Linked DNA regions of Rattus norvegicus. The main gene of each other region encodes a partner of the protein of the gene in region 3 in a complex. Links are inferred from orthologs where the notes say so. Each region holds a gene or a part of one and is shown on either strand. Other genes may lie near its edges. The genes, in order: Timm22, Timm10, Timm10b and Agk.

Region 1 (7,732 bases), on a different chromosome or scaffold from region 3:
ACACATGGGTGCCTCTGGAGCTGCAGGTACAGGTAGCTGTGAGGGGCTCTGAGAACTAATTGCAAGAATAGTACATGCTCTAAACCTCTGGGCCGATCCACCTCTCCAACCAGCTGTATTGATTTTCTGAGACAAGGTCTCTTAACTCCTCCTGAGCACTGGGCTAATATGTATGTACCACCAATTCAGTGTGCACTCAGGTTTCAATTAATAGAAATCTAAGAGTCCCCAACTACAGAAAGACCCAGCTATTAAAATTCATGTACAAAATTAAACCCGAGCTGGGGCTGTAGCTTAGTATGAGAACTCATGCTTAGTGTTTTCAAGGTCTGGGTCTGGTCCCCAGAACTGTAAAACAAACAAACCCCCCAACAAGTGTATAAAATTAAGAAAAAAAAAGATGTTCAGACACTTGCAATGCCATGAAATGAATCTCAGCACATCTGAAAGTGTGGACAAATAGACTCTCAGGCTGAGTGACCTCGCTAGGCTTCCATGCTATGTACACACCGACAGCATTCACCACGAGCACGTCATCTCACACACTCAATATGCAAGCTCTTTCTCTAGGAAAGATCAGGCTCTGTGGTTAACTATGGGTAACTTCCCCATCCCAGGGGGCTTCTGACACAGCAGGAGACACTTTAGCTTTCCGATCTGAAGATTCTATGAGCATTCAGCCAAATGCACATGACGCTATTCTACACACCAGAAAGATTTACCTGGAGGGCTAGAGAGAGCTCAGCAGTTAAAAGAGCACTTGTTCCTTTCTCAGAGGGTGCAGGCTTGGTTCCCACCAGTCACATGGCTTACAACTGTCTGTAGTTCCAGTCCAGGGGACCTGATGCCAGACACAGATGTGGGGCACAGACATATATACAGGCAAAATGCCCATACAAAATAAAGTTTTCTTTAAAAAATAAAAATAGAAGGCTGGACAGAGATGGCTCAGTGGTTAAGAGCACTAACTGCTCTTCCAGAGGTCTTGAGTTCAATTCCCAGCAACCACATGGTGGTTCACAGCCATCTGTAATGGGATCTGATGCCCTCTTCTGGTGTGTCTGAAAACAGCTACAGTGTACTCATACATAAATAAATAATTCTTTAAAATAAATAAATTAAAAAAACAACTTTATGTGCTTATGTGTCAAGGATGAGAAAGCCCAGCATGGATGATCTGAGATACTAGCAAGAACCGAGTTTACACAGAAGCAGCAGGGATTTGTCAGAGGGAAGGAATATCAAGCATCCTTAGAACATTCATGTTGGGAAATGTCAACATCACCACTTTGTCCCAGACCACAAAAGAAAAGCACTCGAGAGCTGTTTACCGACCTCTGAAGCCGATGGCTCCACCAGTGATGCAGCCGCTGATGACGCTGTTCTTCCAGTCTGACTTCCCCCGGTACTGTGGGGGGAGAAACGCTGTTTAGAGCCAGGGGACTGAGCCAGACAAGGCCGAGGAAGAAAACACAGCGCTCCCAGCTGCCCAGTTTAGTCCTGCTCAAACCTTTATTTCAAAAGGGCTGTTCCTAAATTGTATGTGCTTATACATGGTTCCTGCAGGTGGCACCAGAGAGCTAAAGTCAAGTCTAGCATTTGGGAAGCAAAATTTCCGTATATTCTCCAGGATAATTTTATTAATTACAATGACCTGAATTGGGGATGTAGTCCAGGTCAAGCCCTTGCCTAGTATACATAAAGCCCTAAGTTCAATCCCCAGTACCAAATAAATAAGATAAACAAAACAAAAACCCACTTGCCTACAGAAGATTTTTAAAAATGTGCAAAATCCACATAATATGTAAAAAGTTCACATTAGGGACTATTTTTTGGATGAACAATCTAGATTAAAATTGACATTTTTAAATGTTTGTGTTGAGGCAAGGTCTTTCCAGCCCAGCCTGGTCCAGATCTCATGATCCTCCGCTTCAGTTCCTGAGTGCTAAAGCTGCAAATATGGACCACATTTCTGATAGCATTCTGAAGGAACACCTCGAACACCGCTCTTTTTAAAAGCTGTGCAATGGGCTGGGTGTGCTGGCACGTGCCTTTAATCCCATCCCTGCACTCAGGAGATAGACAGGAGGATCTAGTGAGTTCCAGCCATTCAGGGTTACACTGTAAGACCCTGTTTCAAAAAAGGAGGGTGTGTGGCTGGAGAGATGGCTTGGTAGTTAAGAGCACTGGCTTTTCTCCCAGAAAGACCCTGGTTCAATTCTCTAGACTTACATGGCAGCTAGCAACTGTCTGTAACTCCAGTCCTAAGAGACCAGATACGCTCCTCTGGCATCCTCAGGCCCCAGGTACACGCATGATGCACATACATAGCAGGTAAAACATTCACATTCACATTCACATTCACACACACACACACACACACACACACACACACACACACACACACACACCCAAGCGTTTTTAAATGATTTAAAAAAAAAAAAGATAATTAAAAAGTGTACAAGGGCAACAGGAAGAGCTTTCTTAAGAAGCAAGAGGCACTTACAGACTCTACCAGACACTCAGTACAGGAAAACATGGCACCCACAATGGCAAAATTTTTGGCATAGGACATTCCTCTCTGTCCCATGTCCTTCAGGACTTCTCTTGCAGTTGGTGTCCGGTAAGGGTCCTTGGGGTCAAAGCCCACGTTGGTATCAATGCCAGCAGTAAAGACACCAAATGCGCCTCCCAAGACAAATCCTAGAGGTAAGCAGAGATAAGAGTTCTTTTGCACATTCTCTAGTTTACCATTTGGGGATGGTAACTGAAGATGGCCTTTCTGGTCTCTTGGCACTCGGTCCTGATCCGGCTTTCCTCACAGTACAGTCGGAGTCTACCCCCACAACTCCTCTAGGATTTATGCCTTTCAGCTTTAACCCTGTTCTTCAGCTACCAACGTTGTATATGACCTGTAACAACACTCATACAGTCACTCAGTAAGGAAGCATCATGTCCCCGCTACTCTGGAATATTCCTTATTTTTCATAGTAACTTGTGAGGTAGATGTTACTATCTCCCCTTCCTGGCTTTTCTGTTTGAGGGCCTCACTACATAATCCCGCTGGCCTCGAACCTGACACTGTAGAACAGGCAAGCTCCAACTCCAGAGGTTCATTTGCCTTTGCTTCCCAAGAGCTTGGATTAAAGGTTCTGAAACCACCATCCACCCTGCCTCTCTAAACCAAACCCTGGAGAGGTTAAGTAACTGTCTTCAGAGTCACATGAATATTAAACATGGAATCCTATGTTTCTGTCAACAAATGCCTTGTCTGAGCCTTCTTTTGTCTGTGAGTGTAGGCCAGAGTGGGTGCCATTCCTCAGGAATTACCCACCAATTTCTTTTTGTTGTTGTTGTTTGTTTGTTTGTTTTCTAAGACAGGGTCTCTCTGTGTAACAGCCCTGGCTATCCTGCCTCTTCCTCTCCAGTGCTGGGCTTAAAGGCCCCATAGCCTCACCCAGCCATACCTGGCTTTTTTACATAGATGCTGGGTTCTGAACTCAGACCTTCATGTTTGCATGATAAGCACTTTACCAACTGGGCTTTCTCCCCAGCCATTTCTGTATGATGTCTTTTCAAGATGATCACCTCAAGATCAATGTAAGCTCAATGAAGCTAGACCCCTCCTCTCCTGGTCTTGCTTTCTAATCACTTCAGCTCCAAAACTCTATCTCTTCTTTCTACTTATTTGTTTGTTTTGATTTTTTAAATATTTATTTATTTATTTATTTTATGTATATGAGTACACTGTAGCAGACACACCAGAAGAGGGCATCAGATCCCATTACAGATGGTTGTGAGACACCCTGTGGTTGCTGGGAGTTGAACTCAGACCTTTGGAAGAGCAGTCCATACTCTTAACCACTGAGTCATCTCTCCAGCCTGGTTGTTTTGGTTTTTGAATTAGTTTCTCAGGGCTGGAGAGATGGCTCAGTGGTTAAGAGCACTGACTGTTCTTCCAGAGGTCCTGAGTTCAATTCCCAGCAACCACATGGTGGCTCACTACCATCTATAATGAGATCTGATGCCCTCTTCTGGTGTGTCTGAAGACAACTACAGTGTATCCATATACATCAAATAAATAAGTCTTAAAAAAAAAAAAAAGAATCAGTTTCTCTATTATGTAGCCCTGACTTTCCTGGAATTCACTCTATAGACTAGGCTGACCTGGAACTCTTGAGATCTGACTGCCTCTTCCTCCCCACTATTTAAGATTTGAACTCCTGTATTTTTAAAATGTTCTTCATTCTTAACGAAATTTAAACTCATCTACAAATAAACAACCTTTTTACCTGTACACTATAAGTATGCTGTACATTCTCAAACCCTGGAAGATTAATATGTGTATGTGTGTGTGTGTGTGTGTGTGTGTGTGTGTGTGTGTGTGTGTTGTTAACATCCATCCCAGCCTCACCCCGACTAATCACACTGGCCTTCGCTGTTTTTTGTTTTTGTTTTTGTTTTTGTTTTTTTTTAATTCTGAGACAGGGTGTCTCTATGTAGTCCTCCCTGTCTGTCTGTCTCTGCCCACCACCACCACTCCCAGTGCTGGGGTTAAAGGCTTGGGCCACCATCACCCAGTAATAATTTCCAAACTCCAAACTCCTGCCTTGAGGACCTTTGCATTTGCAACTCTACAGCATTCTTCTCTTTGCGTCCTAATATTCTCCTTCAGGGCTCCTGTCGCTTTCATCCATATTCCTTCTGCCGGGCACCTGACCGTTACATAGTAACAACTTAATGAATGAACGAACGAACGAACGAACGAACGAACGAACGAATAAAACGAAGAAAAGAAAGCAACAATTTAGGAACCTGCAGACCCTGACTGTGAATGTTAATCTCAGGGTCAAGAGCGGCATCTCCGGGTTCAAGGAGTCAGCCAGCCCGGGAGCGATCAAGGTCGAGATGCACAGGTTCCTCGCCTCCCAGGCGCGTGGTCTTAGCAAGGAACCTTAAAGTTCTCCAAGCCCTCAGCCTCCCAAGGGTCCCACAAGCCTCGCCTCACCTCCCACACAGGCCAGCACAGCCTTGAAGGCGCAACTTTCCATCGCCCTCTCGATCATCTTCTGCTCCTCGCTCTTGGCAGGACTCGGGATCCCGCCCAGACTGCCAGGCTCCAGAAGCCGTGGCTGACGCTTGTCGCCCACCAGGTGCTGAAGAAGAAGGCTGTACTGCAACGGAGCTTCGGCGGAACCCGCCGCCTCAGGAGCTGAAGCCCCAGCCTTGGCGGCCGCCATGACTGTACGGGCTCTAGTACCTTTCACGTCGTATTTCCCACAGCCGATTCCACATGCTAACCGAGGAGTCCGGCCAGCCTAACGACAACGGCAGATTCGCCACACTGAGGAAGCTGTAGAAGCAAGAGTCAGCCTTTGCATCAGCGTCGAGGAAGCTATCACGTTTCCTCAACGCCTCTTTAAACAGTGAACCAAGTTTGTAAGGCATTGCTAAAAACTCTGACAAGGTTTAGTAGCTCAAGAACACCCCTCAACTAGGGGCTCCATTGCGGTGCGTGCCGGGATTTGTAGTTCTAATTCGAATGTCCAACTGTATTTCCCAGAAAGCCGTGCGCACTCGCTGGCTTTGCTACTTCCTTTGAAAGCTCGTCTGAGAAGCGGCCGAAGAGAAGTCGGATCCTGTTAGGCTGCAGTTCGTCGAACTTGCAGCAGGGGACGCACGTGTCCGCTTTGTTGCCAGGCCATAAAGCAGAGCTCCAGCTACTACAGTCACTAGAACCACAGACTGGTTTACATTCTGAGATCGAATGTACGCCCTTTGTATGAAAGTGTTGAAACATGACATAAATGTGTTCAAAAAGCATTTTATTACATATTTATTAAGCCTTTAAGGAAGAATAAAGAAGGCCAACAAATGTGAGTGGTGGTCTAGCACGCCTTAAAGCCCAGACAGGCAGATCTCTTGAGTTTGAAGCCAGCCTACTAGTCTACAGAGTGAGTTCCAGGGCAGCTGGGGCTCCACAGAGAAACCATTAAGGAGAGAGAGAGAGAGAGAGAGAGAGAGAGAGAGAGAGAGAGAGAGAGAGAGAGAGAGAGAGAGAGAGAGAGAGAGAGAAGAGAAGAGAAGAGAAGAGGAGAGGAGAGGAGAGGAGAGAGAGAGAGAGAGAGAGAGAGACCAAGTACAGAGTATTGCATAGGGTACTAATGGCATACGACTATGGTAACAATGGAAGATGTCAAACCCCATGGCTGGTAGTTGCCGGGTGTGGTGGTGCACTTGGAGAGATCTGCCTGCCTCCAGAGTGTTGGGATCGAAGGCGTGTGCCACTACACCAGGCAACTTGGAATCGTTAATGCTTTGTGGTTTTTAGTGTTAGAGAGCTAAGTTTGAACTTTTTGAAACTCATTTCTTTCTAGATGCCATCCTTGTTTGTTTGTTTGTTTGTTTGTTTGTTTGAAGCAGGGGTTCCCTGTGTAGCCCTGGCTTCTTGGGGAACTCACTCTGTAGACCGGGCTGGCCTCAAACTCAGAGGTCTGCCTTGCTTTGCCTCTGAGTGCTGGGATCAAAGGCGTTGATCACCAACCATCCTATTTCTAGATGCCATTCTTGTACCTCAGTCAATGGCCAAGTGTTAGAAAATGTTGCTCCTATTACATCTTCTTTTTGATCCTGGCCTTAGTAGTGGATCTGTGATTTCCTCATTGAGAAGAAAAGATTTTCTGGGCTGCTCAGTGACAGATCCTCAGATTCTAGCCTGTTTCTGGTGAGTGGTCCAATATTCCTGGATCACATTTCCTATATGCCAACATTGCCGGAGAGTTGTTTTTTGTTTTGTTTTGTTTTTTTTTTTTTTTTTTTTCCGGGGCTGGGGACCGAACCCAGGACCTTGCGCTTCCTAGTCAAGCGCTCTACCACTGAGCCAAATCCCCAACCCCTGTTTTTTTTATGTATGTGTGTGCACACACATGGGTGTGCAAGCGTGGGTGTCTGTGAAGGCCAGAAAAGAGCGCTGGATGTGGTACACACCCCTTAATCCAAGCACTTGGGAGGCAGAAGCTGGCTAATCGATCTCTCTTAGTTAGAGGTTAGCCTGGTCTACTTATCAAGTTACAGACTAACTAGGATGACATAGCAAACCTTATCTCAAAACAAACAAATACATGAAGTGTTTTTTTTTCTTGTTTAGATTCTCTTCCGTTCCATAACAGAATGCTGATGGTCCAAATTAAAATATTTTAAGACTTTTTAAAAAACAAGCCAGCGTGATTCCAATTTTTAAAAAAGATTTATTTATTTATTATACATAAGTACACTGTAGCTGTTCAGACACACCAGAAGAGGGTATCAGATCCCATTACAGATGGTCGTGAGCCACCATGTGGTTGCTGGGAATTGAACTCAGGATCTCTGGAAGAGCAGTCAGTGCTCTTAACCGCTGAGCCATCTCTCCAGCCCTATTTATTTTATTTTATATGTGTTTTGCCCACATGTATGTCTGTGGGCCATGTGTGTGCCTGGTGCCTGAGGAGGTCAGAAGAGGGCGTTGTTCACATCGAGTAGACTCAAGAGTTTGTTACCCTCTTTATTCAAAGATTTAGTCTGATGTAAGGAAGACATGCAGGTGCCACAGTGACAAAGGACAGACTCGCAACGGTTAATTTTATGAATCATTTGAGTAGTTCATGGAGATCTCAGCTCATTGGTTCAGCTTGATTCTGGGTATTGCTGTGAAGGGTCTCTTGGGTCAGATTAACATTTGAGTTAGATTGGT
Region 2 (7,691 bases), on a different chromosome or scaffold from region 3:
CGGCCTTAGCAGGAGAAACTCCAAATGGCTTAACACAGCCCACTCTCTAGGCTGTTCTGGAGCTGAGCCTGCCCAGGCTTCTGGGCTCACCACTCAGCTTTGTCTTCACACTTGGTGTTGCAGTCACACTGCAGCTGTTTCCCCGCCCTCCACACTTCCGTGAGGTGGCAAAGCCTTTCTAAGAGCTATTCCTGAGCTGGAACCTCTCCTTTGTCCACCAGGCTGTGTTTGCTCCAGCTGTGCACTATCAAGAGAATACTCAGGAAAGCAGATACAGTTTCTCTTTTTCTTACAGTGGCTTCTCTTCCTAGCCATGTGCTACAGTGCTGGCAGAGAACAAGCAAATGTAACTTTGTGGAACAGGCCCCAGTAGCTCAGACTTGTGTGCAGACAGTGCCACCTGCTGACCTGAATTTGTATTTCACCTTTTAGAAAGACTTTCTGCCCATCCTGACAGGACTGGGCTTTTGTGGTTTTCACAGAAGTCCATCTAGTGTTTCCACTTCCCACCAAATTTGACAAACTGTCGAGTATTTAGTGCACTTCAGATACCTTTCTAACTACTGAGTTATTAGTTTGCACAACCACCTAAGTCGGCAGATGGCCCTACAGGTAGGGTAACTGAAGCAGTTAAATACCTCTCCCAAAGTCCACAACTAGAAATTTCAGCCAAGACTAAAAACCGATTTGAACCTGCACTTGTAAGCTGAACAAAGTCTCTGCCTCCTTTACTCTGTCCCAAACACCTCTACAGAGAAAGCCTACTTTGAATGTACAGTTCTGCCAGTGGCTTCAGTATTAACAAAGTGCCTTCTAGAATAACCCACATATTCTGAAAGCTGCAGTCTAAGGGCCTTCTTCAGACAGCAGTGGGGCGGACCTTCCCACTACTATACTGTGTGACCTGTAAGCAGCTGCCACTCTGAACCTGTTTCCTAATTAGACCTTTAGTCTGGGTGGGTGGACTCTCTCATACACTGGAAAGTGACTGAAAAACAGCCTGAATCAGGTAAACACATGTGGTGAAGTCATCACTCAGGCCCCTACCTAGCTCACTTTCCAAGATGGCTGAACCGCCTCCCATCTTGACAGTAATATAGCTATCTAGGTAACATCTAGAGCAGAATGGCTACTTGCTAGCAAAACCCTATCCACTGTCACGTCCTCTAAATAGCTTTTCTTTGATATGTGTAGAAATGGCCTGTTTGCCTCCACTTACTATCAAGCTTTAAAGGACACTTAATACCTCCTATACCCAAGTCACTCTAGTACATCACAGAGATGTAGCACAGTCAGGGCCACACAGTAAGCATCAGACTCTTAAGCCCAAACCCTGTGGTCCCACTAGTCTATAGTCTTAAAGCACTGTAGTAAGGTACGCACGTGTAATCCCAGCGTTTGAGAGGCAGAAGCAGATGGATCTCTGTGAATGGATCTCTGTGAGTCTGAGGGTAGTCTGGTCTACAGAGTGACATCCTGTTTTTAAAAACAAAACACAACAAAACAAAGCAACCCAACCCCACTAAAGTAAAGACCCACTGCATTAAATCCCTCTACTGTTGGATGCTCTGACTCTTTACTCTCAAACAAAGACACTGCTTTGCACAAATTTGTTTTAATATGATATATACATATACACACATTCACAGTCACAAACCAGCATGACAAGTCCCCTTCCTTAGCCAGGAGAGCTCTACCACACGCAGGGGTCCTGGAGATGCTCAAGGGCCTAAGTATGACAGTTTTCACATGTGACATCCATTAGGGACACTTTAATCAGAGGTGGCAAGGTGCACCACGGGTGTACATGGCCCGGGGCCTCATGCAGGCCCAGAGCTCTGCTGTACCCGCTTCATCAGCTCTTCATCCTGCATAGACAACTCTGTCAACTTTTTTCCCATCCTCTCATGGATGTCCAAGTACTTGGATACGCATCGGTCCAGACACACAGACTCGCCTTTGGACAGCTCTGCCTCCTTGTAGTGGGGAGGCACGCACTTCCGGTGGCAGGCACTGGTCATTCTGGGTTAGAGAAGAACAAGGTTGTATCAGTAACTTCCTACAGCATCCCGGGAACCTTCAACAATTCCAACCCTGCTGGACTGATTCTTGTCTGGTTCCTCCCTCAAGAAAACAGTAGAGGGCTGGAGAGACGGCTCAGCGGTTAGAGCACTGACTGCTCTTCCAGAGGTCCTGAGTTCAAATCCCAGCAACCACATGGTGGCTCACAGCCATCTGTAATGAGAGCTGATGCCTTCTTCTCCTGTGTCTCGTGTGTCTGAAGAAAGCTACAGTGTATATATTAAATAAATAAACCTAAAAAAAGAAAAGAAACTTTTCTTCAACCAGTTTGGAAGGTTCTTCCAATAAGAATCTTCTCTGAGTCATGTACAAGACTAGTTAAAGCAGAAGCACTTGCTGAATACTGGCTGTGTGCCAGCCATCATGCTAAGGGCTAATACAGACTCTGTTAGGCAACCCTCACAGTAGCCCAGTGGGGTAGGCACAATCATTATCCCCACTTTACAGATGAGGAAATTAAGACACAGCTCAGTAATTTGCTAAATATCACACAAAGCTAGGTAGTCTGACTGCACAGTCTGCATTTTAAAAACCATTCTAATTTATAGTCTCAAAAACAAACCAATCAATGAAAAGAGCTGCTGACAAAAACCAGCAGATACCTGCTGTTTCCTGTATGATATGCTAGATGATAAAGTATAATACTGTAATGTCTGTATGGCATAGCACCTCTTATGCCAGTTTTACTGATGAGATAAGCAATTATGAGACATTCAGCAGTGACTGGCATACCAGGATGCTTCCAAATTGGCCTAACAGCTACAAGCAGTAGTTGTGAAGTCAGCCTCAAGTTCTGGCCTGACATTGTTGCTGACCAGCTACAAAACCTGAGATTAGTAAACCCCTTAATACCTCAATTCCCCTATGTTAAAATGGTACTAATAAAATTAACCCACTGCTCTTCTTTCCTTCCTTCCTTCCTTCCTTCCTTCCTTCCTTCCTTCCTCTCTTTCTCTCTTTCTCTCTCTCTCTCTCTCTTTCTTTCTTTCTCTCTTTCTTTCTTTCTTTCTTTCTTTCATTCATTCATTCATTCAACTATTTGGCTTTGGCCTCCATCTCTGAGTATAGGCACCCACCATGCCGAGATCAAACCAAGGGCTTCCTACATTCTAGACAAACATCCTATGTTCCACCCCATTCTCCCTTTGAATTATTTTTAAGTATTTACAAAAATGACAATGGGGGTCTGGAAAGTAGTTAAGAGAACTTACTGTTTTGCAGAGGACCTGGGTTTGGTTCCCAGCACCCACATGGCAGCTCACAACTATCTTTGACTCCAGTTCCAGGAGATATGATGCCCTCTACTGGCCTCTGAGGGCATGTGATGCACATGTATATACACATGCAAGCAAAACATACATACATATAAAACAAATAAATTAAAAAAATTTAAAGTGGGGGTTGGGGATTTAGCTCAGTGGTAGAGCGCTTGCCTAGGAAGCACAAGGCCTTGGGTTCGGTCCCCAGCTCCGAAAAAAAGAACCAAAAAAAAAAAAAATTTTAAAGTGACAATGTATATAAAATGCTTTGCAAGTGCCTAACACAGAGATAAAGTTTAATAAGGATCAAGTGCACACACTTTTAATCCCAGCACCCAAGAGACAGAGACAGATCTCTGGGAGTGAGACCAACCTGCTCTATACAGATCAAGCCAACAACCAGGGCAACACGGAGACGCCCTATCTTGAAAAACAAGAACAAAAACGCTCACCCCACCTCTCCCCCAAAAAGGAAGAAAAAAATTAATAAGTACTAGCTACTAAATACTATTAACTACTAAATGACTGTTCAGATGGCTCAGGAGGCAAAGGCCCTTGCTGCCAAACCAGAAGATCTGAGTTCAATCCAAGATGGAATCCTAGTAAGTTGTCCTTTGACCTCCACATGTGAGCTGCTATAGCATGCATGTTGGCATTCATAAATAAACACAAAATACAGAAGCAAAGGTAATAAAATGGGCTATTAGAAAATAAAAGAGGGGTTGGAGATTTAGCTCAGTGGTAGAGCGCTTGCCTAGCAAGCACAAGGCCCTGGGTTCGGTCCCCAGCTCCAAAAAAAAGAAAAGAAAAGAAAAGAAAGAAAAGGCAGTGCTTACTTGTACTTGATACTCAGCAGAGCCTGAGCAGGAGACTTTCCTTCACACCCCTTTTACTCCCTCTAAATAGCCAACCAAGTCCTTCCAGTGACCTGTCTTTACTTCAGCCAAGCCCGCAGTAATGGTGGGACGGGATTAGGAGGTTGGGACTTGGCTCTACTACCTTAGGGAAAGCATTCCTTACAAGTCCTTCACTCTATCGCGGTAGGGGTGACGAGGGCTAGTTTTCTGGACAAGGTGAATCGGAGTGGTTCTCTTTACCTGTTGTACATGTCGGCCATCATCTCCACCTCCAGCTCCGCTGCCAGTTGCTGGGCTCTGAGCGGATCCATGTCAACTTAGCACCGTGGAGAAAATAGCCTCCTGGTCTTTAGTCCTGGGAGCGTACATGATAAGTCAGCACCGACCCCTCCACATTCACTCTAATACCCACCCAGGGGCTGGAGGGCGCGAGGGGTTACAGCGTTTCAGACCAGCAGGGACCAGTACCCTAAGAAAACGTAGTCAGCCCTCTTACCAGAAGTGGAAATGAGGCCCTTAAAGGGGACAGTGTCCAGTTCAAGGTCACTCAAGATGTCATGGGGCTCGGAGCTGGAAACCGAGAGCTCTCAGTATCTCGAAATCACTCCTAGCCAGAGGACCGACATTAGGGGCAGAGCACACAAAACCCTGGGCCTGAACCCACGCAGCCCCGAGAATGTGACCCTAACCACAACATAGGTTCCCAGGGCCGGTCTAAAGGCTGCGCCTCTGTCATGGCAATGGCATAATCAGGGTCAGCCTGGGGATCAGATACCATGGCTCACTCACCACGGCCTGGGGTAGGTCACAGCTCCCGCAACGCCCCCAACTTCGGGTCAATAGTAAAAAGTTAACCGGGTACCAAGATAGGCGAAATAAGAAGCACGTGGGTCACTTCCGGAAGGAAGTCTAACCTCTTCTTTGATCCGGAAGAAAACGCAAACCAGGCGGCTCTGGGAAACCGGCTACCATAGAGAGGAGCCACTGGCTGAAGAGAAACCTACTTCAATTTGCTAGAGTGGACTCCAAAGTATCATAGAGTGCGGAGTCAATGGCAGAGCGCCGACAGCCTTGTTAGCGTTCCATCCCTCTGGTTGTCCGGGAGACTTCTGAGTGTTTGGAGTGTGGAAAAGGCTTGGCTCCCTGAGCCTACCATGGAGAGCCCACGCCTGAGCGCAGACGGATCTTTTGTGAAGAAGGGAGAACGTTTCCCAAAGGAGCCTGTCAGTTTTGCATGTTAAAACCACCTGGAGCACTTTTTTAAAAACCTCAACGCCCAGACGTTACCTCATACTCGTGAAATCAGAGTCCCAGGGAGTAGGACCCAGACTTTAGTAAATGAACAAACTGCGTTAACTGGTGGGGTTGCAGAAAGAAGGATACAAAATCGCTGCTCGCAGAAAAAGGAAACATGTATAGAGGTCTTCTGTGCTTGCTTTTGAGATAGGGTCTCATGGAACCCAGGCTCTCTAATTTGCGGTGTAGCCGAAGATGACCTAGAACTTATTTCCTGCCTCAACCTCACTAGGGCTGCGGTTACAGATGAGCGCCGTTATGCCTGAACTTTGCAGTGCTGGGATGGAAGTAGGACCACATGCTACAGGCAAGCGCTCTACCAACTGCCCCAGCGCTGCAGCATGTTTTACTGCACTTCTTTATCATAGCCATACACATGCACAATAAATAAAAAAATAAATGTAACAATAAGAATTATTGGCTTTATCCTTCTCTTTTTCTTTCTTTCTTTCTTTCTTTTTTTTTTTTTTTTCTAGGCAAGCACTCTACCTAACTGAGCTAAATCCCCAACCCCTTGGCTTTATCTCCTTTTTTGGTTCTTTTTTTCGGCGCTGGGGACCGAACCCAGGGCCTTGCGGCTTTATCCTTTAAAACTATTTTTATTAGGGCAAATCTGCAACACACAGAGAACACAGTCTAATGAACTTCATTGGTGATTTGGTACAGTGTGAGATGATCTGGGCCAGAGAGTCATCAGTGAAAGCAAGGAGAAATGATGAGGAACACCAAGATTTAATATTTTTTTAAAGATTTATTTATTTATTATAAGTACACTGTTGCTGTCTTCAGATACATCAGAAGAGGGCATCAGATCCCATTACAGATGGTTGTGAGCCACCATGTGGTTGCTGGGATTTGAACTCAGGACCTCTGGAAGAGCAGTCAATACTCTCAACCACTGAGCCATCTCTCCAGCCCCAATTTAATAATTCTTGATATTTAGTCGCATTTTCTTGATCTATTCTTGTCTTTAGCAGATGAAGTCTTTTTTCCAAAGTGCTATTTTCACATTCTCAGCTAATAGTGATTTTTTTCATCTCTCTTCCACGGTGCTGAAGGAATTGTAAGCAAACACTCAATAACTGAACTATACAGTTCATTTGACATACTATTTTTAAATTTAAATTTATTTATAAGAACATGCACCCATGGTGGAATCGAAGGGCTTGTGGAGGTCAAAGGACAACTGGTAGAAGCTGATTCTCTCCTTCCATCATGGGAGTTCAGAGTAATCAAACCCAAGCTGTCAGGCTTGGGGGTAATCACCTATATCAGCAAGCCATCTCACCAGCCCACTTATTTCCTAATGTAATCTATTGACAACTTAAAATTTATTTATCTTTTTATGTTTGTGTGTGAGAGAATGAATTGTGTGCTTGGAGGTCAGAGGACAACCTCAGGTTTCCATCCTTAACTTTAACCATGTTTAAACAAGATCTAGTGTTTGCTGCTGCCTATACCAGCCTAGCTGGCCTGAAAGCTTTCAGAGATGCTCCTGTCTCTGCCTCCCATCTCACCATAGGGTCTTGGAATTGTGGACCCATCCCACCATGTCTGACGTTAGATTTGTTCTAGGGATCTCAAATCAGGACCTTACTACCACAAAGAAAGCTCTTTCGCCACCTGAGCCATTTTCCCAGCCCTATTGCAAGTATTTTCCCCAACTTCTCAGAAGGATCTTTTTACTGTACTTAGAACATTTAACAAAAGACACTCTACTTGTACTCGATAGTGTTATTCTCTATATGCACTGTATTGCACAGAAGACCTCTAGAAGACCTTTATCTTGCATAACTAAAACTACACACACTGAACAACTTCCTACTTCCCCTCCCTTCAGACCCTGGAAAATCATTGCTTTTGCTGACAATGGTGCTACCGTTATTATTGCTATGTGGCCCTGTCTTTCTTTTACTGTAGAAGAATTTTAACCCAGCAACATGGTTGCTTTGGCAGGAGATCCTATCAAAGACCTTCCAAGTCTCTGTGATCTGACTGGAGTGACATACCTTTAACATTCCCTTAGTCCCAAACATACCTTTAATCCCAAACAATGAAAGTAAAGTTAGTTTGCCGAAGAAAGCAGACATGTTTGAAAGTGATGTCTAATTGAGGGACAAAGTGATGGCTCAGAGAAAGATCTGGCTAAATGAGTCAGAGATAGGATATAGCCAACTCTCCTGAGAATAGCACAGAG
Region 3 (6,540 bases):
AGGTAAGAGTGTGGGGGTGGGAGGTCTTAGGTGAGTTTACAAGACAGGAACAGAGAAAGCTAGTGCAGCAGGCAGGGAGGGGGTCTGATTAGGCCAAGCACCAAAGGCATTCTGGATGACATGGAGACAGGTTACTTGTGGTGCGCCCTCTCCCACAACCCCTCCAACTTTTGGACCTCAGTACAAACCCTTAGGCTGCCTCCATAGGTGAGTGATGCTGGGGGCAGGACTGGGCGTACCCCAGAGGGGTTCTCCCTGGGGGCTGCAGGAGGGAGGGAGGGAGGGAGGCTGAGGGATGCCTGCCTGGAAGGACCAGGGCCCAGTACCCCCACCCTCTCTGTTTTGGCTGAGGCACCTGAAGCTCTGGGGACTTCTGGCTGAGGTCAGCAAAGGCATCACCTAGTGCATGCTGGGTCTGCAACAGGCTGTAGAGGTGGGCTGTCAGTGCCCGGCCCAGCTGCAGGACACTTTCATACTTGCGCTTCGTCTCACGCAGCAACTCAATCTGCAGCTCTAGCTCCAGATCCACAGTCCGGGAGCCTCGGCCAAATCTCTCTGATAACAGCTGCTTTGTGCACTGATTGGAATGGGGGTGGGGGGATGGAGGTCAGAAATCTAAACTCCACCCCACAAGGAACTACTCCAGCACCCCCATTCTCTTAGTCATAGCAAAGACTGTAGATTAAGACCCAGGGAAAGGGAAAAGGGCCCCATGGAGAGTTTCTGAGAAGAGGTGCTTGAATCTTACCTTATATGTGTTGATGCCCCATTTCTTGACAATGTCAAACTTTTCTCCAGCGATGCCTCGGGCCACCTCATCACCAGGGCCAGAAGGTGAGGTGCTGTGAGACGGATGGCGGCCAGACCCTAAAGGACCAAGTTCTCTGACACTAGTTTCTCTTAGATATAACCAGACACTTCTGTGGCCCACTTCCCTTCCAGCACATGAAATGACCTTGCTGAAGAAGGAAAATCTAGACAGACAACTGCATTCTTCTGCTTACTAGGGGGAACAAGGACTTGTGTCCTGACCACCAAACCAACTCAATGCATGTATCTGGCATTCTTGGGATAGGGTAAGAGTGTTGTTAGTGTACTCAAGAAGAAAGAATAGAAGCTATCGTGATATGTGTGATTGGCAGGATCAAAGATGGTGGGCACAGAAAACAAGGAAGTTGGCTGATATTTCTAGGTAGAATTCTAGTCAGTGTAACAGTCTAAAATGAAAGTCTGAGAAGCCTCACAAAGCTCCAACTTGGCCTTAAGCTCCTGAGTGCTCATAACCTCAAGGTCTTAACTTGGCTCAGGTGGTGGCGGCAGGGAGGAAAAGACAAATGAGATTATCTTAGAGACTAAGTGGCAGGGGGGAAGCAGATGGGCAACTCTGGAGCTGGTCTGGGACTGAACAGGCTATGAACTTCACACTAGCAGTTCTGAAGCTCTTCAGTCACGAGTCAAGCTTTACTGTATGTGTCCTATGTGCCGGCAAGCTGCCTTAACAGCCCCCATCCCCACCCCTCAAGCCTGTCTCTATCACTCATACCTGTGGGGATGAGTCCGTCACCAGAGCCCCCATAGCCACCAGACACAATGCTAGTTTCATTGAGGTTGGGTCCTGACACCATCACCTGCTGGAGGTCCTATAGGTCAGAGAAGAGGGGGCACCTCAGGAACACAGGGATAGATGAAACATTTGGGGATGGAGGCAGTGCACATAAAGTTTATACAGAACCATAAAGATTTGAAAACTAGGAAGGAGTTTAGTTAACTGAAGGCTATTGGGATGGGGGAAAGTAAAAGGTTTATAAGTCAGGACTGCATAATGAGACAATTAGAAGAATCAAACAGAAGCACCTGCTCCAGCCCATCGTCTTCAGGAAGCTGCCCAGCCTCGCCATTTCCGTGGATGGGAATCTCCATTGTGGCTGCCTTCCCTAGAATCCCGTCCGTCATGGCTAGGGAAGGGACAGGAGTCAAGGTCTCCACCCCAGCACGCTGTAAAGCCCAACAAGACAATTCTGGAAACTAGCCAGCACTCCAGAATAAGGAGGCCTCCCCTGTGTTCTCAGAGGTTTCAGGGATTGTCTTAGGGCTTGGGTGTCCTGGGATCAGCCACCACGTCTTTCCTTGAGTATGTGTATCCATTCTCTTCTGAGTACATTATTTCTACAAATGCATGCATACCAAAGCCTCTGGTGTCTTCTCGTAACCCCCAACCTCGCCTTTAGTAACCATTCATGCATTCAGTCATTCAACAAACATTTGGTGAGTTTCTACTATGTGTGAGATACCGAGGCAATGGAATTGCAGCAGTGAGGACCAGAGGGAAGGTCTATGCTCTCTGGGAACTTAACCCTGCATAAGCATGTTTACCAAAACTCTTTCCTAGGCTCAGACGTTCACTTGCCACTCAGGCATGCTCTGCGATCCTGATCTTTCACATCCTTTGGTGTTCCTTCCCCTCTTCCTTCAGATGGTCTGGTCTCTTCCTTTCTCCATCTCATGCACCTGACTCCCTCAGGCCCTCCCCACCAGGCCTTAGTTGAAGCAGTTAGTGAATGTTCCTGGTGTCAGGACACCAGGACACAGGCAATCCCTTCCAAAGTCAGTTGAAGCCTTCCAGATGTGAGAGGCACCCCCCACCCCCATACACCTGGGCATCAGGTGTGTCCTCATCCTTGCCAAGGGCTCAGGGCATGTTGCCCTCAGTACAGGTTCGTGCGTTCAACTTCCCTTCGTCCAAGTACGTCCTTCTCACCTGGGCCGGGCCGCTCTTCCCCTCAGGGCGCGAGGCCCGGACCGCGCGGGGACCTCGGGTTCCAGTTCCCGTCGCGATCCTAGCAGCAGGTCAGAGATTTGGCGGAAGTGACATGCTCTCTGGGCAGAAGAAGCCGGCCACGTCGCAGAGAAAAAGGGCGGAGGTGACGTTTACAGTTGTGGGCAGGGCGAGCCTGGAGCTACGCCTTCAAGCTCTTGGGGGAGTACCGAGAGTTTACTTCCGGGGCGACTCCGAGAGCCACCCCCTCCGGACGGAAGTGGCGTACGCCATGCGCCCTGGGCGTGATGGAGCACCAGCAGCAGCAACTGAGAAACGTGAGTGAGAGCTAAGTTGCTCTCTGGGTTAGACGCGCAGTTTGTTTCCAGGGGTACACGCAAGAACCCCCAGAGGGGGAGGCGGGCTGCGCGCCCCAGGAAGCCTCGGCGGTGGTGAAGTCTTGGTTCCTTTTTCTCTCAGTTGCGAGACTTTCTGTTGGTCTACAATCGGATGACAGAACTGTGCTTCCAGCGCTGTGTGCCCAGCCTGCACCACCGAGCTCTGGACGCTGAGGAGGTGGAGACTGTGGGGGGTCCCAGAGTTGACAATAACGTGATGTGACTTACCCCCTCCCCCCACTTCCCCTCTCTTTCATGACCTCATTCCTAGGCTGGGGACCGGGAAGGATGGAGGAGGGCTTGACAGGACCCCTTTTAGTTTCTACTTCCATCTGTCTTCCTTCCAGGAGGCCTGCCTGCACAGCTGTGCTGGGAAGCTCATCCATTCTAACCACCGCCTCATGGCCGCTTACGTGCACCTCATGCCCGCCCTGGTCCAGCGCCGCATGGCGGACTACGAGGCTGCCTCTGCCGTGCCAGGTGTTCCTGCAGAACAGCCCAGAGACTCGCCATCAGGCAGCTAGCTAGCTGTCCCTGACCGCAGGAGAGAAGGTGCTTGGATAGGCTCCTCTATGGACCTTGGGCTTGTCTAAATATGTACAGAGAGACTGAGCTTGAAAGCTGGGTGCTCTTGCTCCTTTTCTTGGAGCCAATAAACCCGTTTTTGTATTCTGGTTAATTTACTTGGCAAGAACTTTTCTTTATTGGTACCATCCTTTATTCTGTCATCTACTGCCTGTCTAGTGCCTTTAGCCTTGGCAGTTGATGTATTACCTTCTTGTATGTAGAAGGACAAATTTAGCATTCCCAGCACCCCAGCAAAAGCAAGGATTATGGCTACAGTTTGAAGGTTGGTAATAACAATGGGAAATTGGTTCCAAAAGGAGAGTTCTCTGTGCCTGTCCTAGGGTCTAACTCAAGTACCTGAATATACATTGGCTCTTAACTAGTTTTTATTCTCAGCTGTCAGACAAAAGAATTGCTGTAGATCTAGGGGAAGAAGGTAATATCAAACAACAAAAGCAGGAAGAAAACAGTGCCCCCTTAGGTTTTAGTCACTGCTTCCTAGGAGATCAGTGACAACAGAACAAAGACAAGCCTCTAAGAATTTAGGAATGTTGACCATTTCCCCAATTTACTCTCTTAGTATTTCCTGCTTTTGTGAAATTAGAAATAAAGACTTTAAACAAAGAAGGACTTTCTTGTCTTCAGTCAGTCAGGAAGACAACATTAGTCAAACCTCAAGAGAAACCTGAGGGAAAGGGAGATGGTATTAGGGAGAGATGGTTAAATACCATCTGTGACCCTCCACCCGGTGCTTCCTCAGTGTTTCACTGCCTGTCTAGTCCCCTAGTTTCAGTTCTCTACCTTCCAGTACTCTAACTACCCTGTTGCCAGCTTCTCTATTCTTGTTTCATTATTCCCCCACCCCCTTTTGTGGGATTCACGTCTATACTCCGGAGGAGTCCTTTCCTGGCAGCTGCCATTTCCATGACTTCACTCCTAATGTGGAGATGGGGAAAGGAAGGAGGATATGGCATGCACCACCACATGGGGCTTCTGGGGCTTCGAGGATAATACAGCCTGCAGGGCAACAGCATGGGGTCTGCACCTATTACTGTTTCCCAGAAGATTAGACTCAGGCACTTGTGCTTGCCTGGTGTGAACTCTAAACAACTAAGCTACCCACTTCCCCTTCACTGCTTCCTGAAATCCCATCCCATCCCCTCCACCATTGCAACAGGTGGCCAGCTTTCATTTTTTTTTTTTTTTTTACAAAGGAATCAAATTCACAGTGAAAACCAACCATTCACAGAGCAGATTCTCTGCCCTCCCCCCACCTACAGGTCAGAAATTTGCGTTTATTTATTTATTTATTTTATTTATTTACTTTGAGTTATGGTCTCATGTACCCAAGACTGACCTGGAAATGGTAACTAAAAATGACCTTGAACTCCTGATCCTCCTGTCTCTACCTCCCAATTGTTGGCCAGCCAAAAAATTGAAAATCCCAGCTGACTCCATATTGAAAGGCTAATCATGTTCCAAGGCTTGTTATATGTGCCTGCAGTCATAGCACTAACAGGCCAAGCATTGTGAGTTTGAAAGCGTTCTGCGCTGTTATATCAAGACTCTTATCAATAAAGTGAGCTGGGACATCAAGCCTGATAGTCTTTGCACTACAGCAGACTACTCTAAATGATGTCTGTTGAGTTGTTTTGTATAAATTTATCATACTCTTTTTAATTGCAAAACTAGGAGGTATTTTTCATTAGACAGGTAAAGAAGCACGAAAACAGGAGGGCCCTGTCTTAAACAGTTCTTGAAAAGCAGATTCTGGCGTGTCACAACTTTTTTCTTTTCTTTCTTTTCTTTTCTTTTTTTTTTTTTTTTCTTTTTTTTTTCTTTTCCTTTTAGGTGGTTTTGCTGTGGGCACATTGGTCTTCAATACGATCCTCCTGTCTCAGCCTCCCAGGTACTGGAATTACAGACATGGGCTACAACTGGTTGCTAGATAATTCTTTAGGAATATAAAAATTGCTGACCAGAAGCTTCCCTACAGAGTGACCTGTGTACATGATTAATTTCACTCCTTGACAAGTACAAACGTGAGTAGAGCAGCTTGTGAACTTAATTCCCCAAACCAGGAAGGTGGAGACCCAGGATATTGTGTGACTGCTGAGAGAGCTCTACATCAGCATCTGTATGTATCCCTTCAATAAACATGTGCTGTGAGTTGTCTGTGTTTCCTCTCTTCCCATGTCACACATAATTAGTAATTGCTGGAAAAAGACTAGGAAACATATGTGCCTAAAGCCCGCTCTGAACTATCTGAACTGTTTTGTTTTGTTTGTCTCATTTTGTTTTGAGGTGGTCTCACTATGCAGTCTCACACCTTGGATTCAAATTCGCTGGCTTTTACTTCCAAGTGCTGAGGTTACACCTATGCCACGCCCACTCAGTCTAGAGAGTTCTTACATCCAGCATTATCTGCACTTTGCCTTCAATGCAAAAGCAAATGTGCCTTGATCTGGCTTGTTGGTCCTTTTTCTTCTTTCAGTCTCCAGTTTCTTCCCTTTCTGTGGTTGCTAATCATTTTCAGGTCTTGTCATAAAGTGATAACCATTGGCATAGTAAGAGCAGGGCAGTGTTCTCAAGCACAGCATATAGAAATTTTTTGTTTTGTTTTTGAGACAGTTTCTCTGTAACTTTGGCTGTCCTGAAACTCAACTCTAGATCAGGCTGGCCTTGAGCTCACAGAGATCCCCCTGCCTCAACCTCCTGAGTAATCACCACCTGGCAGGCATACTTTTGTTGGTTGTTTGGTTGGGTTTTGTGGTGGTGATGGTGATGGTGTTTGTGGTTTTGTTGGTTTTGTTGGTTTTG
Region 4 (7,099 bases), on a different chromosome or scaffold from region 3:
TACCTGTGACATTCCACATTCCAGGAAAAAAAGACTTTTTTTCTTCTTTAATAATTATTTTACAAGAAATCTTCACAGCAGGGCAAAGGCAAAGCTTTGTTCTTTTTATATAGCCCCAGGCAGCAGATGTTAAAAAGTTTGCAAAATTCTGAGCCAAAGGCAGAGTTTCTGATTACCCAAGGGCCTTGGGGCATGCTTAGAGATTAGGTTTTTATAAATCTTTAAATTATAAATGGAAGCAGCAATAACAGAATTTCTGTTTTTAAAACAGAAAAAAACAGCTCCTAAAAAGCAGAACACTGTCTCAGATCCTGGGGGTGGCCACATGTGAAGAGAGGTTTCCACAAGAAAATAATCTACTGATCACTGACATGACATTTGGAAATGCTGGTAAAGTAGTTCAATAATCTCTACTGATACAAGGGGAAAGACAAATTCCCTAAGATAGTCAAGCCCTAAACTGGAGAGAATTTATATCAGATCAGCAAAAATGCTTGAGTCAGTCATCCATCATCCATTGCCCCTCAAAAATTCTAACCTGTGACTAAAAAGTATGGCCCATTACAGTGGCTTCTCCTGCTTGCTAGGCCTCAGGATGGCTGGAGAATCCTGTGATACATGAGAGACATTAGGATGAGGGTCTGATGAACACACGCACACACACATATATATATATATATATGCATGCCTGGGCTTTCCTGTGTGCACCCATACTTTTTTGAACAGCATTAAGTTGTTAGAGATACAATTGCTGGCCCTCAAAATTACAACAGGGAAAGTCAGTCTACAAGACCTAGTCTAAGAAAGCACTCCAATGCAGGGGAAAAAAATTAACCCAAATTAAAAAGTACCCTGAATGTTATTACTATTGACTTAGAAGGTTATAACAAGAAAAACTTCTGAGAAATTTTTAATTCACTCATTCAATAAATGTTTACCTTCCGGCTTCTTGTATCACAAGCCTTACATTACACGCTGTGTAACAATTTCTCCAACACTGTTCCATTTACTTCAGGTCTTTTGACAACCATTTGCTCAAGATTATGTTAATTAATTGCTAGGAAAACCAGGCCTTAAATTCAAGATCACTACCTTTTCCAAAGATTTGGTCTTTGTTCTATAAAGCTTTCAATCTTCCTGAGTCCTGAGGACAGTGTTAGACTCACAGCAATGTAACTTAGATGTCAGGACTTCCCCCCTTTCCCATCTACTATATCCATACTCCCAGCCACATCAGGCAGTCACAAGGATGTGCCTATATTTAGTTGTTTTACCTGCTTCTATCACCGAGATATTGAGGCCACTGCTACCTGCAATTTAGTATCCCGAGAGACGTGCTATTTGTCACCATGGGTACTTAAAGGAAATGATCAGAGTAAATCTGCCCTCACCCTCATGAAAGGGTCTTACCGTGCAAAGGCAGAAAAACTGCAATGACAGAAAGAGCCCATCTCCATCCCTGACATCAGGACGTAGTAATTACTAGATTAGGAGGGTACCACACCTCAACTGGGAGCGTGCCAATCTCTGAAAGGCTAGGTGCTCCCATCAATACCTTGACATTTCAACCTATCAATATTTGAAAAGTCGATGTTATCGTGTATGTTAATTTTCAGGCCCAGGCTCTATCACACACAGATGTTAGCATGCCACATTGACAACCTACTGGACTTTGTTTCCACTTTCAGCAAAGAGGGTGTGACTCAAACTACTGGTCTGTCCCAGCGGGATAAATCCAATTGGAATCTTACTGAAGGTAGCCTGGTAGAATAAAAGAAGACAAAGTTGTGTTATTACAGTCTGAAGATTAGGTTTAAAGGGAGGCACATGAGAATCCTCTAGAACAAAGTAACTGACTATGTCTCCCATCTCATCTCCAGTTCCCATCTCTAGGCAGTAAGCAAATACCCCAACATGAGCAGTTTCTGAGACAAAGCAGTCAATGACAACACAGTGACTCAGAACTTAGAAGATATATTTGAGTACTCAGTAACTACAATTATTTGTATGAAACTGGGTTAAAATAATGATAATCTTACAACAACTGGATCAATGAAACAGTGTGAGAGACTGTACTAAGCTATCCCACCTGCTGGGAAATACAGAAACAAAATTCAACTAAAAATACCTACTAATCCTACAGTGACCAATGGCAGGTGACAGTGTTTGACAAGCTTTCTACTTCAAATAGAGGAAGTCAAATGATGGCCAGTTAATGACACAGCAAGTGATTTAACTAAATGTCACATATATAGCCATTACTTGAAGATTCTTAAAAGACTATTTTGAAGATAATCTCTTATTGTTTTACCAAAATATTTTAAACTGTGGCAGGAAAATGAATGAGATCTTACATAAGTCCACAACCCAGATTTAAGAACATTTGCCATGTTGCTTCTGATGTCTTCAGAAATAAACTGGATCTCAAAATTAAAATAATTAGGTAGAGACAGATAAAGTTCTGTTCTCCTGAACCCTCCTAGAGGAAACCATTATGCTAGGTTGGCACGACTCTTTTGCATTATTTTTTATTACTACAGACTTACTTATCAAATAACATATAGTAACAATACTGTTTTCTAAATTCTAAACTTATTTGTATTTAACATTTCTAAGATCTAAAGATGTAGATATTTATAGATCTACTTCATTCTTGTGTATGATATACATTACACATTTGTATGTGGGGGGAAAGAATGAGTGTGTGTGTGTGTGTGTGTGTGTGTGTGTGTGTGTGTGTGTGTGTGTGTTGAGGGTACACAAAGAGGCCAGAGGGCAGCTTCCTGTCTATACACACCGTCCATAATTGTTTTTAGATAAGGTCTCCCATATGTCTTGAAACTGGCCAGCCAGCACCAGAATTACTAGTAGCACCACTAACTATACTCAGTTGATTTTCCATGGACCCTGGGATCAAACTCAGGTTCTCATGTTTGCTCTTAACTAAATAAGCCTAGTCCATCCACTTAATTGCTACCTGGCTCCTATTATATGAACATATCACTATTAATTTATAAAAGAATTCCATGAACAAAAGATTCTATAGAAAATTTTTATATAGCACACTAGCTGTGTTAGAAGGTACAGGGTACCTGAATTACCAACACAGGAAGTCTATCATGGGTTCCTGAGAGTAACTTATGACAGAGGAAGAAGTATTGCACCATCTGATCAAAACCCAATCCTCTCACAATTCCACTGGGTTGAAAATATAACACAGGATTTGAGTATGATGGTCTATGCCTGGAATCCCACAGATTTTAGAGACTGAGGCAGGAGAATCACTAATTAAAGACTAGTCTGGGCAACTTATCAGGACCCTGTCTCAAAATAAAAGTTAAATGGACAAAGGGCTGGAGGTGTAAGTCAGTGGTGCACGCTCACTTAGACATCCAAAGCCATGGGTTCAACCCTTAGTACAGAATATGTTTGTATGTATGCATGCATGCATGCATGCATGTATGTATGAATGTATATATGTATACATACATAACTATAAATATAATATGAATGTATGCATCACATGGGGGAAAGACAAAAGAATGAGAGCAAGTAGAAGCTTAACATATTTTTACAAGCTCACCTCATCTGTTCTTCTAAGTACTCCAGTAACAACCTATGAATGTAAAAAATATAAAAACATGTATTTTCCTTATCAAAACAAAATTAGGATAAAATTTCATGGACCATAAACTTATTTATTTTCTTCTAGAAACTATATTAAATAATGTATTAGATCTTAAAAACACATCATATTGTCAAAATGATCAGTGCTAAATTAGATTTTATTCTTAACCTGGAAAAATACAGACTAAGATAAATTATAAAAATTCCACATACATTAGTAAAATTATATTTCAAGGTCTACAAAACATAAGTATACTAATGTTTATGTGTTGTAGGTTCTAGAGAAATATGAACTCTTTTCAGTTATACAGAAAAGCCTCTGTTAGCCTTCTGCAGTACAGAGAGGACAGGATGGCTTAGCATGCTCAGAAGTACTCAAGTGCTTCTTCCTGAGGGCTACGGAAACAAAGGGGCTAGACAACTAGCATTAACTGTTTTATTCTATTCACTATCATTAGGTAGACTAGGTTGGCCTGGAACTCACAGTATTCCTCCTGCTTCAGCTTCCTTAGGATTGTAGGTATGAACTGTCATAAAAAAAAACAATCATTTCTCTAGCAAAATGTCTTTTAATGACTGCATATACCCCAAATATACAATTCACTGTCTTTCCTTTAAAACATTTTGTAAAAATAAAGGTTGACATATCTCCTCCCTTTACCTTGTCCTGCCTCATTGGGTTTGAGTATTAAAAGGGCTGTCAATGATCTACTTCATTCTTTGTCGGTAGACAATCAGAACTCTTCACATTTCATTAACAAGCTATAAAGACAATTATGAGACCATTAGCAGAGCCTTTGTAAAAAAAGAAACTTACTACGGCTCATATAAATGCCAAGTCAAACTTAGGACAGCTTTTCTGCTGTTCATTTCTGGTCCCTCACACTGATGAAGCTACCAACGAGAGGTCAAAGCCAACAGTAATGCAGTACTGCGATAAGTGGTATTACTATTAGGACAAAGACAGGGCTAGGGGCGTAGCCAGTGGTAGAGTTCTTGCCCAGCATACAGAGGCTTGTTCTGTAGCACTAATTGCCAAACAACTGACCTTAGAAAGAGCAGCAGAGAAGAAGGCAAACATACATCTGAACAAGCATCGTCTCTTTTTACAAATGCAATCTTAAGAGTTCACTTTCTATACAACAGAAATGATGTGAGTGCCCATAAACGTGTTTTCTTGAGAGAAAACTTCATTTGATGAGGACTTGTCCTTGTGGTGAAGCTGTGGTGTCATCGCAGACCTGCTGTGTAACAGCATGCACAGTGTAACAAGCTTGGCCCATCCATACACATTTGCCTCCTGTTTTATTCAGTATCTGAGATCTAATCTTGCTATGTAACCCAAGACTAACTGGAACTCAAGATCTTCCCACTTCATCTTAAGTAATTGATTATAGAGTCTTGCTTGTTTTATTTAATTTCTCAGACAGACTTGCTTACATATAAACCCTTCCTTGAGCTGGAAGGAAGATTTACCAAAAACATGGAAGGAAAGTACAGGAGAAAGCTTAGGGCTATATAAGTTTGAGAGCAATAGCCCTAAAATAATGAATTATGGCAATTTCCTTAATTATTGTTGCCATTGTCCAAGAACCTAATTTCCCCCTAATGATGGCCCTCCATGGGGAAGAAGGACCCTACCTCCTGCAGGGTGCCATCTCCTCCAGCAACAATGATCACATCGGTCGTTTCCATCAACTCCAAGAGCTTCTTGGCTTGTCCCTCATAATCTGTCTGGAATATCAAAGACGGCTTTGGTAAATTTGTCATTGTAAGATCACATGTGACACATGTTACAGGATGAAAAATGTTCTTTAAAGTCTTATATTGCTCCCTTAGTTTTGCATGGTTGAAAGACATGAAAATGCTATGAAAGCAATTAGGTATGGAATTTTTTATATAATTTTATACTTCCTAAGACAGAAATGCCTTCAGAAAATATCATTCTAAAAAGGCTGCTTATTCTAAAAATAAAATCAAGCCCAATAATTTGCCTCAGTTGTATAGTTAGCCAGTCAGAGGATTCGTTTCCAGTCCAGTGTGGCTTCCATTACACTGTTTACACTCTGTTTTTCATCTGAAGGCAGGAAGTCAAGTGCATATGCAAATAGGGAAGTAGATATAATGAGAAGGAGAACAGATTTCAGAGCCCCAGAGACCTACAGTAAACCTCAGCTCTGCTACTTTTTAACGGAGTAGCTTAAACTCACTTGATTTTAATTTCCTTATCAATGAATTTTCATGTATCAAGAGAGGGACAATTATCTTTCCTGTACTATTGTTACACAGCAGAATTTAAAACAGCTAGAAAAGTGTTTGCAACTGATGATTATTATTGTTTTGCTATGATGGCACAGAAAAAAAAATGCAGGTGTGTTTGAAGAGCACTCCAAGCTTCCTATTTTATTGAACGTTTGAACTACATTTCAGCCACCATTGGCTGAAGACAAATGCAAACCTTAAAGGGCATAAAGCCAGTGCAACAGAACACTACCTCCACTTTGAAATACAGTAGACACATTATTAGGCAAAAACTAAATACTTATATATCAGATGGGCTAAAACACCTTTAGTACAATTTGAAATACCAGCTCTTTGTGCCCTGTTCCCAGCATAGAACTCTAAAAATCCACAGAAGTTATTTTGTTACTCACAGGAAAACCCTCACAGAGTATGTACTGGTAACTCTGGAAGGACCCTGGATAAGAACTGGTGGCCAGAGAGGCCAACAGATCCCTTACAGAATAGAATCTTGAGTTCCATACCCTAACCTCCAGGGAAAGGAGAGGAGCCTAAGGGTGAGTTCATACATCAGGGCTCAACGATTTCATCTATAATATATACAGGAATTCCTGTATATATTATACACACTTAGGCAAAGAGAAATTATGTGTAAAAAGAGTAAAAATGTTAACAAGGGGGAAGTAAATAAATATATTTATACATATATTAACTTTTTTGAAAATTTAAAATTACTTCCAAATAAAATTTAACAGAAAAGACAGGAAATCAACCTTTCAGAGACCAATAGTCTCAATTGAATGTAAGGAGAAACATTAATATTTCTACTAATAATTAAATCTTCCTTTAATATAATACCTATTATCTGAATATATGTACACAATTCTGAGTTTCTTAAATTGGGAAAATTACAAAATACAAAACCAAAGACCATAGGGCTTTGGTATTAAAGAATTGTCACGGCAGCAGCTCTCTGCTCCCAGACCCTGTGGGAAAGAGACCTCACCGCCTGGTCAGGTGGGCACTCATAAGGCTGCAGAGCGGAAGAGACCACTAACACTGCCCACCCCTGCCCACATCCCTGGTCCAAGAGGAAACTGTATAAGGCCTCTGGGCTCCCGTGGGGGAGGGCCCAGGAGCGGCAGGACACCTGCCTGAGACACCACCGGAACCTGAAGGAAACAGACCGGATAAACAGTTCTCTGCCCCCAAATCCCGTGGGAGGGAGAGC

What was found.
Region 1: Timm10b (region 3) and Timm22 share a complex: the UniProt entries of both Homo sapiens proteins name them as parts of the TIM22 complex. The link is inferred for Rattus norvegicus from reciprocal best matches to the Homo sapiens genes TIMM10B and TIMM22.
Region 2: the proteins of Timm10b (region 3) and Timm10 are in contact, whole or in part, in a cryo-EM structure (PDB 7CGP), measured with the Homo sapiens proteins. The link is inferred for Rattus norvegicus from reciprocal best matches to the Homo sapiens genes TIMM10B and TIMM10. Residues at the interface, in NP_036324.1 of Homo sapiens: Gln7, Leu11, Leu14, Arg15, Phe17, Leu18, Leu19, Tyr21, Asn22, Arg23, Met24, Thr25, Glu26, Cys28, Phe29, Val33, Pro34, Ser35, Leu36, His37, His38, Arg39, Leu41, Glu46, Leu49, His50, Ala53, Gly54, Ile57, His61; in NP_036588.1 of Homo sapiens: Ala6, Leu9, Leu13, Glu16, Met17, Asp20, Met21, Arg24, Ala28, Lys32, Cys50, Asp52, Arg53, Cys54, Ser56, Lys57, Tyr58, Asp60, Ile61, His62, Glu63, Arg64, Met65, Gly66, Lys68, Leu69, Leu72, Asp76.
Region 4: Timm10b (region 3) and Agk share a complex: the UniProt entries of both Homo sapiens proteins name them as parts of the TIM22 complex. The link is inferred for Rattus norvegicus from reciprocal best matches to the Homo sapiens genes TIMM10B and AGK.

What each region holds. Positions count from the first base shown.
Region 1 is NC_086028.1:61,749,206-61,756,937, reverse strand, and holds the start of Timm22 (mitochondrial import inner membrane translocase subunit Tim22), read right to left. Parts: upstream 5,253-7,732; 5' UTR 5,241-5,252; coding exon 5,009-5,240; intron 2,704-5,008; coding exon 2,507-2,703; intron 1,409-2,506; coding exon 1,336-1,408; intron 1-1,335. UniProt on the Homo sapiens protein: Essential core component of the TIM22 complex, a complex that mediates the import and insertion of multi-pass transmembrane proteins into the mitochondrial inner membrane. In the TIM22 complex, it constitutes the voltage-activated and signal-gated channel.
Region 2 is NC_086021.1:90,312,522-90,320,212, reverse strand, and holds Timm10 (mitochondrial import inner membrane translocase subunit Tim10), read right to left. Parts: upstream 5,075-7,691; 5' UTR 4,510-5,074; coding exon 4,439-4,509; intron 2,023-4,438; coding exon 1,821-2,022; 3' UTR 1,600-1,820; downstream 1-1,599.
Region 3 is NC_086019.1:169,389,313-169,395,852, forward strand, and holds Timm10b (mitochondrial import inner membrane translocase subunit Tim10 B), read left to right. Parts: upstream 1-3,042; 5' UTR 3,043-3,063; coding exon 3,064-3,093; intron 3,094-3,235; coding exon 3,236-3,331; intron 3,332-3,500; coding exon 3,501-3,677; 3' UTR 3,678-4,344; downstream 4,345-6,540. Other genes in the region: Arfip2 (arfaptin-2), read right to left, coding at 356-577, 749-867, 1,544-1,640, 1,855-1,953. UniProt on the Homo sapiens protein: Component of the TIM22 complex, a complex that mediates the import and insertion of multi-pass transmembrane proteins into the mitochondrial inner membrane.
Region 4 is NC_086022.1:70,124,942-70,132,040, reverse strand, and holds part of Agk (acylglycerol kinase, mitochondrial), read right to left. Parts: intron 5,362-7,099; coding exon 5,269-5,361; intron 3,617-5,268; coding exon 3,584-3,616; intron 1,762-3,583; coding exon 1,667-1,761; intron 1-1,666. UniProt on the Homo sapiens protein: Lipid kinase that can phosphorylate both monoacylglycerol and diacylglycerol to form lysophosphatidic acid (LPA) and phosphatidic acid (PA), respectively. Does not phosphorylate sphingosine. Phosphorylates ceramide.